Linked DNA regions of Sus scrofa. The protein of the gene in region 1 purifies or fractionates together with the protein of each later gene. This does not show direct contact. Links are inferred from orthologs where the notes say so. Each region holds a gene or a part of one and is shown on either strand. Other genes may lie near its edges.

Region 1 (5,118 bases):
TCCCCAGGGGTAACTTGGCATCTTTAGATGAATCCTCTGCATCCTGTCAGCCAACAAGCAAAGACAGTAGGTGATTCTGTGAGCTATTTTAGGGATCTAGCCTAGAGGTGTTGGCCATCTCTTCCTCACAAATTCTACCAGTCAGAAATGGTCATGCAATCACCGCCAGAACGATTGACAGCTGGGAAATGTAGTTTAGCTGTGCATCCAGAAGAGAAAAGCTGTTTAATGAGCCACTAGCTAGTCTCTGCTACTATTAATAGCAATATTCATTCCTAAGGCTTCATTTTCAATCAGGCCCAGTTCTAAGAAAGCACTGTGATGACACCAAATGTCATCAAGAGACTCAATGGGAGTTCTGGTCTCGCCACTTTTAAAAAGTTCGACATAGGAGTTCCAGTTGTGGCTCAGCGGGTTAAGAACTGACTAGTATCCATAAGGATGCAGGTTTGATCCCTGGCCATACTCAGTGGGTTAAGGATCCAGCATTGGCAAGAGCTCTGGTGTACGTCCCAGACAGAGCTCAGATCTGGTGTTGCTGTGACTGTGGTGCAGGCCTGCAGCTGCAGCTCCAATTTGACCTCTACTCTGGGAACTTCCATATGCCGCAGGTACAGCACTAAAAAGACAAATAAATAAATAAAGTTTGGCATAATCTAGGAAAGCTGGGAGTTCCCGTCATGGCACAGTGGTTAACGAATCCGACCAGGAACCATGAGGTTGCGGGTTCGGTCCCTGCCCTTGCTCAGTGGGTTAACGATCCAGCATTGCCGTGAGCTGTGGTGTAGGTCGCAGACTCGGCTCAGATCCCTGTTGCTGTGGCTCTGGTGTAGGCCGGCGGCTACAGCTCCGATTTGACCTCTAGCCTGGGAACCTGTATATGCCGCGGGAGCGGCCCAAGAAATAGCAAAAAGACCAAAAAAAAAAAACCAAAAAAAAAAACCTAGGAAAGCTGAACGTAGGTATACCTTTCACTCTAGCTACTCCACTTCTAGATATATATCCTAAAAACCCTTGCACACACAAACCAGGACATGTGTACAAGAATGTCAAGAGCAGTAAATAGTCAATCTGATGGATAAACTGGAGTATAGTCACCCATGGAATTATATGCAGTAGAAAAAAAGGAATGAACCAAAAAATGTGGCTGAATCTTAGTAACAATGTTGAGTGGGAGAAGAAAGAAGTCTCAGATTACATTTATCATGAAACTTTTTAAAGTTCAAAACAGCAAAATTAAACAATTTGTTGACTGGGCACAATATGTACATGAAAATGCTATGTTTATGAGAGAAAAAGCACTTTACAATCTTTAAGTCTTTGAATCTGCATGTCTCTGAGGTAGGTATTCCAGCCATGGGAAACTTAGGCATAGAGAGGTTGTCACACACCAAAGCTCAAGACTGCCCTTCAGAGCTTGAACCCTTGTGTGAGCCAGTGTCACCAGCCTGGGTGGGCCACTGTGTGACCGTCATCTCTCCATCCGGTTGGAAAGTCACCCACCACTCTGCCCTGGGTTCCAGCCCGCCTGGCTCCAGGCAGGCTCGGAGGCAGTGCTGTCCTGGGCCTGATGCATTGGGCTGCAGCCAGCACTGGGCAGGGAAATACCTCTGGAGCAGCGCCAGTGGCTGGGCATCCCCACTGTCTCCTTCCTCCTGGGTCTGGAGAGCCACAATGAGCCCACAGCCCTGGCCAGGCCCACCCTGGTGGCTGAAGTGGGCAGCTGTGTCCACAAGCAGGGCGGCCAGGTAGGCGGCTTCCTGGGGCCCAAGGTCTTCTGTTAGGTACTCCTCCAGGCCATCGAGCAGCAGGAGGGAGGGCGCTGCCCCCCTGGCCTCATGCGCAGAGCACAGGAGCCGGAGGAGCTCAAGGGTTGAGGGTGGATACTGGAAGCGGATTTTCTAGAGAGAGGAGAAAAGGAAAGGACCAGAATCAGCACAGGAAGCCAGGATCCCTGCTATAGCAGCCCTAGTCCCCTGCATACTCTCCTGGACGAGGCTCTCACTCCCGGAACTGCTGGTTCCAGAGTGAGGCAGCTCAGAGTGGTCGAGTATTCTTGTTTGCCATCCTCCGCCCCCTACCTTTTTATCCTGCATTCTTCACTCCCTGGTATTAGTTGAGAACAAGATACAGCTTTCTGGAGTTCCCGCCTGTGGCGCAGCGGAAATGAATCCGACTAGGAACCACGAGGTTGCAGGTTCCATCCCTGGCCTCCCTCAGTAGGTTAAGGATCCTGCGTTGCCGTGAGTTTATGGTGTAGGTCGCAGACGCGGCTCGGATTTGGCGTTGCTGTGGCCGTGGCGTAGGCTGGCAGCAACAGCTCCGATTAGACCCCTGGCTTGGGAACCTCCATATGCCGCGGGTGAGGCCCTCAAAAGACAAAAAAGAAAAGAAAGATACAGCTTTCTGCCAAATCTGCAGGGTAATCTTTCCCTAAGCGGCCGACACCATCATTTGACGGCAGCTGTCCAAAAACCAACTGTAGTCAAACCCTTTGGGTACCGCCTTTTGCTAATTTCGCCCCCTCATCGATGGTTTCTCACTCAATCTTAACAAAGCTTAGTATGGTCCCATCCCCGACTCATTCCAGACTCCATCCCATAATGGCCACTCCGGCTTGGCTTTCCTTCGTCTCCACCATTGGTCTGTCTACGTGTCACTCAATCCCAACCGCTCCGCTAGTGGCTGGTCCGCCTCTGGTCCCGCTTTTCCCAACCTGTAACCGCAGGGGTTCCAGCGCTGCTCGGGTCCCGCGGGGCAAGCTTTGCAGAGGCCTCCGGGTGAGGAAGAGTACGGGGCCTTGGCCCTCTCCTGCCGTCTCCAGGGCCGCCGCGAATAGCAGTGCTGTCTTTCCAGAGCCTGGACCGCCAAGCAGCAGCAAAGGCGGTCCGGCCTCAGCCGTGCTCTCCTCCGCGGGGCCGGCCGCGCTGCCAGAGTTTAGCACCCGCCTCAGCGTCTCCGCCATTCGCAGCAAACGTCTGTCCAATCCGTGGCCCGATCCTGCCCTTAATCCCGCCGCAGGCGAGATCTCATTGGCCACAGTGTACTTAGCTTCTCCATTGGTTCGAGGCTCTGCTCATCAAAGGTAGATCGCTGTTTCCCAGTTCCTCTGGTGGTGAAGCGGCAAATAACCTAGTCCGAGGAAGGGATGGAGGCCTTTGAGGGAGATAAGGCTCTTCCCTGGTGAGTCCGCTGGCCGAAGCAGCACAAATACTACTATTGTGAGTCGTTCTGCTAGTCAGGCAATACAAGTGTTGAGAGTTGGAGGGAGCAGGTCCTAATCACTGACACATTGTTTAAAGTCTCTTAGCCTCAGTTTTTTACCTGTAAATTGTAGCTCATGGTATCTCAGAGGAATATTGTGATAGGCACGTGTCTGTGTGTGTTTCTGCTGATAACACCCAATGACAATGGAGAAGAGAGATGGATGAGCTATGTGCTTCTCTCTGCACCTGAATACCAGCACAAATGTGTCTGGGACTGCCGGCTTGAGGACATTCATGTGCAAAACATCAGCAGCTGTCTCTTAGTGTCTGTGAGAAGAGTCTCAGCTGGCTTCCTCACTGGCCTGGGGGCTTCTTGAGTCCTGCTTGTAGTACAGGGGGAGGCAGGACCAAACAACAAAAAGGGGGCACAGGAGAGAATAGGCAGAGATTCAGGGGGCTGGGAGACTGAGGGAGAACCACAGCAGGACCTTGTTTGTCATGTTCACTTTGGTATCTCCAGCACCCAGAACAGTGCCTAGGGCATTGTAGATTCTCAATATAGTCTCCTTAAAGGAATGAATGAAGAAAGGAAAGTAGGATTGATGAGAAACTGGGAGAGAAGGAGGAACAAGGTGAGTGATCAAGTGATCAGTGGTTGTGTCTCTTCACCCAGATTTCTCCCCAGAGCTGCCACTCATACCCCTGTTGCCCTGGCAACTCTGTCTCCTGGTAACTTCAAAGTGGTGCTGTTGCCAGGAGACCCAGGGGCAGGGAGGAACTGAGATTTCCAGGGCTTTCTCTCTCCCTCTGGGGCCGGAACACAGCTCCACAACATCCTCCAATAATACACCCACTCACACAGCTGGGCACGTACACACACACACACACACACGCATGCATGCACACATGGCATCTCTGCATATATTTCACTTTCAGAATCCCCATCACCCACATGCTCCCTGCCCTATCCTATCCTGACACAAAGTATCCCATACATACTCTTTCCCATATTCATGCCTCCACACCCTTTCCCTTGCACACACACCAGAACACACTCTGATACAATCATACCATTTCTCCCCCCAACACACACACACACACACACACACGACATACTGTTACATTGCCCTGTAAATGTACCACCTCAGGCCCATGATTCACCTCAATTTTATAGCACTCTAAATGCACAAGCACCCAGCAGAGACAATTGTATCACAGAGTTCCACACAGTTATATACATAGGAGCATGCCAAACACAGCCTTGTTTTAGGTCCTTTGCACTTGTTGTTCCCTTGTTTAGAGCATTCAGCTGTCAGATATCCCTCGTTTTTTTCATTCAGTTTAGGTGCCTTCTCATATATCACCTACTTAAGCTTTCCTTGACCACCTGTGTAAAATTACACCCCTTCACTCTTTAACTGCTTGTTTCTCTTCAAATAACATCACTTCCAACCTTATGTATTTACCTTATTGCCTCTCTTCCCACTAGAATGTCAGCTCTGCCAGGGTAGGGCTCCTCTTTCTTTCTGGCTTCCTAGATCGTAGAACCACACCTGGTATATAGTAGGTGCTTCTAAATGCAGCTGAGTGAGTACATTGGCGAAGATGTGATATTAGGTGTTTCTCTCATGTGTGTAGTACTTCTTTGCCTCACTTCTCAGGATCCCATCTTCATGTCTTGACAGAAGGACCCTTAGCTTAGAGGAGCTCCCTGGAGGAGGCAGGACTGAAGAGTGAGGGGACAGGGTGGTGGACAGCTCAGTGACAGTCTATGCTCCTGCCTGTTTATCAGCATCCTGAAGTGATCAGTTCATGTATTTAGCAAACACTTGTTGAACACCTACTGTGTGCCCGGTCTTGTTCTAGGCATAGGGGCTCATTGGTGGATAGACATCAAAGATTCTGTCCTGGT
Region 2 (3,968 bases), on another chromosome or scaffold:
GAGAGTGGTGGAGGGAACCTCAGTAGACAGCATGCAGCAGCCTAAGGGCAGGATGAGATGGTGCAGTGATGGCCTGCTTGGAACAGTGCATGCACGTTGGAAAAGGCCAAAAATGAGAATATTTGGTTAAGTAGTAACATGTCTAAGCTTTAAAACTTGCTCTTGCTAGGAGTTCCCGTCGTGGCACAGCAGAAATAATCCGACTAGGAACCATGAGGTGCAGGTTCGATCCCTGGCCTCACTCAGCGGGTTAAGGATCCAGCATTGCCATGAGCTGTGGTGTAGGTTGCAGACGCGGCTCAGATCTGGTATTGCTGTGGCTGTGGTGTAGGCCGGCAGCTGTAGCTCCACTTCAACCCCTAGCCTGGGAACCTCCATATGCCAAGGGTGCAGCCCTAAAATAGCAACAAAAAAACAAACAAACAAAAACCTCCCTCTTGGAGTTCCCATGTGGCACAATGGGTTAAGAATTTGGCGTTGTCACTGCTGTGGTACAAATTCAATCCCTGGCCTGAGAACTGCATGCCATGGGTGGAACAAAAAAAAAAAAAAAAAAAAAAAACCCTTGTTCTTTGTTGGGAGTTCCCTGGTGGTCTAGTGATTAGGATTTGGAGTTTTACCACTACAGCCTGGATTTGATCTCTGGTCTGGGAATTGAGATTCCCACATAAAGCTGTTGCATGCTATGGCCCAAAAAAACAGAAACAAAAAACTTACTCTTTGTTGTAATTTTTTGCAATGGGAATTATAAAAAGTTTAGCAACATTTATATAAACTCAGTGAGAAGCAAACCTGGAGCACCTCATGTTACCATCTTTGACCTGAGGGGTAAAGAGAAGTTGGGGAGGTGGGGGGCAGAGCCGCTTCTGAACCTGGCTCTGCTTCCTGTGGGCCCAGGCTCTGTGGTTGCTGTGGATGAGAGCACCGCCTTCTCATGGCCTGTATGTGACCTGTGTGGCAGCGAGAGACTGGAACGGAGCCCAGAAGACAGGTATGGGGGCAGGGGGCTGGCCTGAGAGACCCCAGGGCAGCAGCAGCCAGCTGGGGATTCCATGATGGCCTTGTGCCTTGGGCCAGGGGCCCAGTGCACAGGGAGCAGGGTCAAGCTGCAGGGAGGCCACATACAACATGTTTTCTCTCTTTACAACTGGGGTTCGGCTCTGCCCCGCACCACCTCCTGTCTTAAAAGTAAGAAGAGCCAGGTTTCCTCAGCTCCTTAATTATCAGGCAAGAGAAAAAGAACTCAGAGCAAACATAACGTGAGACCCACTGGGTCATTTGCAAGCAGATCCCCCTTCCCTGCCCAGCACCACTGCCCCCATCTGGCTCCCCTGTGACTGTCGGCTTACACTGGGGTGTGTCATCACTTTCCTGCTGCTTGAGGCCTCTGAGGGGGTGGTCTGAGGCCTGGACAAGGCAACACCCGGTTGCACTTGGAGACAGAAGGAGTGTCTCTCAGGTTTACTTGGAAGCGGGAAGGAGCAGAGACACTGAGGATTAAAGCAGGTTTTCCTGATCTGGCCCTTCTGGCTTGTTTGCCACCTGCTCAGCTGGGATGAGGCTCCCTGCCCGTGTGCCTCTGTCCTCCAGGCATTCCACACACGGCCAGACCGCTGAGCCTGGGCTGCTTCTGACCTGCTTCAGGACCTGGGTTTCTGGACGTGAATGCTCCACTCTGTCTCGGCAGACCCTCAAGTGTAGGAAGTGTCTGTCCACTGCCAGACCCTTGTGCTCTGTGCCTTCTCTTTGGGTCTTGTTTCCAACAGTAGGCGCACCTTCTCCTGTGGGGCCTGCTCCCGCGTGGTCACCTCACCTCTCTTCAGAAGGCACCTGCAAGTCTTCCTGGACTGCCCCTCTCGACCCCAGTGCACAGTGAGGGTCAAGGTAAGAGCTGGCAGGTGTGGCCCAGCTCTCTTCCTGGGAAAAGGGGAAGGACTCACCCACGGACCACAGTCACCCTGTCTGACCTAAGGCATTGAGGTGGAAGCTGGTGGCTTGGAGCCACATGTCAGTTCTCGGGTCGGGTTGGGGGTGTTTTCGGGGTCCTGACCCAGCCCCTTCCTGTTACTGCAGCTGCTGCAGGACAGCATCTCTTCGCTCCTGAAGTTTGCGGCCTGTGAGGATGGGGTAAGTCCGGGTGCCCAGCCCAGGCCCACATCCTCGCTCTCCTCTGCTGGGTCCTATGACTAGGACCTAGCTGAGCTCTTGGGGTTGGCGCACAGAACACCTGCGGGTCCTAGGCTCCCACAAGGGTGGCCCTCAACCACCTGTTCCCTTCAGGAACCTGGAGACAGGGGAGGGGGTGCTGGTAGGAACACCCTCATTTCATTCAGCCCCTTCTGATGGAGGCAGGCTATACCTTCTACACATTACACTTCTTAGCCACTTACATCCTACTCCTAAAGAGCTCAGAAGGCATGTGTGTGCTCATGTGTGCACCTGTGTGTGCATGGGTGTATGAAGTATGTACATGTGTGCTCTGGGTGAGGGGCCTGGGTGGCCACTCAGTGTTCCCTTGTGCGGCTGTGCACTGGGAGCCGAGTCTAGTTGACCAGAATGCAAGCCGACCCCCACCCCACCCCTGGCTCCATGCAGCGGTTCTTAGAAAGGACGCGGACACATGTGTAGGAGAGGCCTGTGTGGAGACACTGGCCATGAGGCTTGTCTGGATTCTGCCAGTTTTCAGTGTGAGAATGTACACTCACCAAAATCCACGAGAACCACGACTCCATTCCTGGGAACAACATGCAGCTTCTGATTAGGACGCAGGAGTATTTGGTCTCATGCCTCCACTTAACAAGGTCAAGCTCCAGATGTGAAAGCAGTGGAACTAGCTGTGGTCATATAGGCCACTGCTCCTGGGTAACATTACAAGGACAGGAAATGTGCTGTCTTTTTCCTTAGCCTTCACAGAAGGAAAAGTTAAAGGAAGATACATTGCATCTTTTAAAAATAAAGGCACATTTTGTACACACACAAACACACACACACACGCTTTCATTTGACCAGCACATGTGCATGTTTTCATCTCTCCCGAATATAAAACTATAACTTAATCTCCTTTATAAACAGTAATTACTGAAAACCATAGCTACCAAATCTGACTTTTTAAAAAGAGGATTTTTTTCAAGTCAGAGTTCCATGCTTGTACCCCCAGTGGGAGCATGCCTAGGTCCCCTGCCTACACCTGCAGGTACAGCCCTAACAGACAACACAGCCACATGCAGCCCTTCCAGCCCTGTGTGGGCACCTTCCCAACCCAGCGTCTCTATCTCCTTCCTGCTATGTATCCACTGTGTGAGGCACCTTGTGGGCTGGGTGAAGGATCAAGGGGGCCATGACCTTGATGTCTTGGTCACAAGAGCCCAGGCAGGAGGACTCCCCACTTTTCCAGCCATATCCTCTAACTTCCTTCATGCAAACATGCTGCCAAGGAAGCCAGAGCTAGCTCCCTGCAGGCCACATTGGGGAGGCAAGGGGGTTGGCTCCAGGCCTGTCTCATAGACGGGAAGACAAGCACTGCAGTGTCCATGTCCCAGACCAATACAGGCATGTACTGCTCCAGAACAAGCCATCTCCAGGCCCAGTGCTCCCCCACACTCTGCACACAGGCCTGCTGCCTGGGCGAGGATCCACGGGGCAGCAGCTGGTGCCCTGGAGGCTGGGCTGGATTCACAGGAAGCCCTTCAGTTCCCGGGCAGCTGTTGGGCTCCTTTGGGCTGGGCGGGACCTTCCTGGGCATTGACCAGACAGGCACACAGCCTGGACCCCTCACAGCATGTGTCTGGGTCCCAAGAAGGGCAAAGATAGGCCCCTGTCCTGGCCAAGCCTGGGACACATTCAGTGCCCCTCCCACCACACTCAGTTCAGGAGAAGCCAGCCGGGCACCCAGCCCAGACCCAGGCTGAGGGCAGTGAGGTGCCCACCAAGGAGACACAGACATGCCAGCTTTGGCCATGTCATCTGAT

What was found. Proteins that work in one complex are often made in the same cells at the same time.
Region 2: the proteins of SWSAP1 (region 1) and SPIDR purify together in Homo sapiens (co-immunoprecipitation; 3 studies listed by BioGRID and IntAct, with this or other methods). This does not show direct contact. The link is inferred for Sus scrofa from reciprocal best matches to the Homo sapiens genes SWSAP1 and SPIDR.

Annotation. Positions count from the first base shown.
Region 1 is NC_010444.4:70,058,055-70,063,172, reverse strand, and holds SWSAP1 (ATPase SWSAP1), read right to left. Parts: upstream 2,988-5,118; 5' UTR 2,966-2,987; coding exon 2,717-2,965; intron 1,902-2,716; coding exon 1,398-1,901; 3' UTR 1,184-1,397; downstream 1-1,183. UniProt on the Homo sapiens protein: ATPase which is preferentially stimulated by single-stranded DNA and is involved in homologous recombination repair (HRR). Has a DNA-binding activity which is independent of its ATPase activity.
Region 2 is NC_010446.5:79,876,273-79,880,240, reverse strand, and holds part of SPIDR (DNA repair-scaffolding protein), read left to right. Parts: intron 1-897; coding exon 898-991; intron 992-1,766; coding exon 1,767-1,884; intron 1,885-2,073; coding exon 2,074-2,127; intron 2,128-3,968. UniProt on the Homo sapiens protein: Plays a role in DNA double-strand break (DBS) repair via homologous recombination (HR).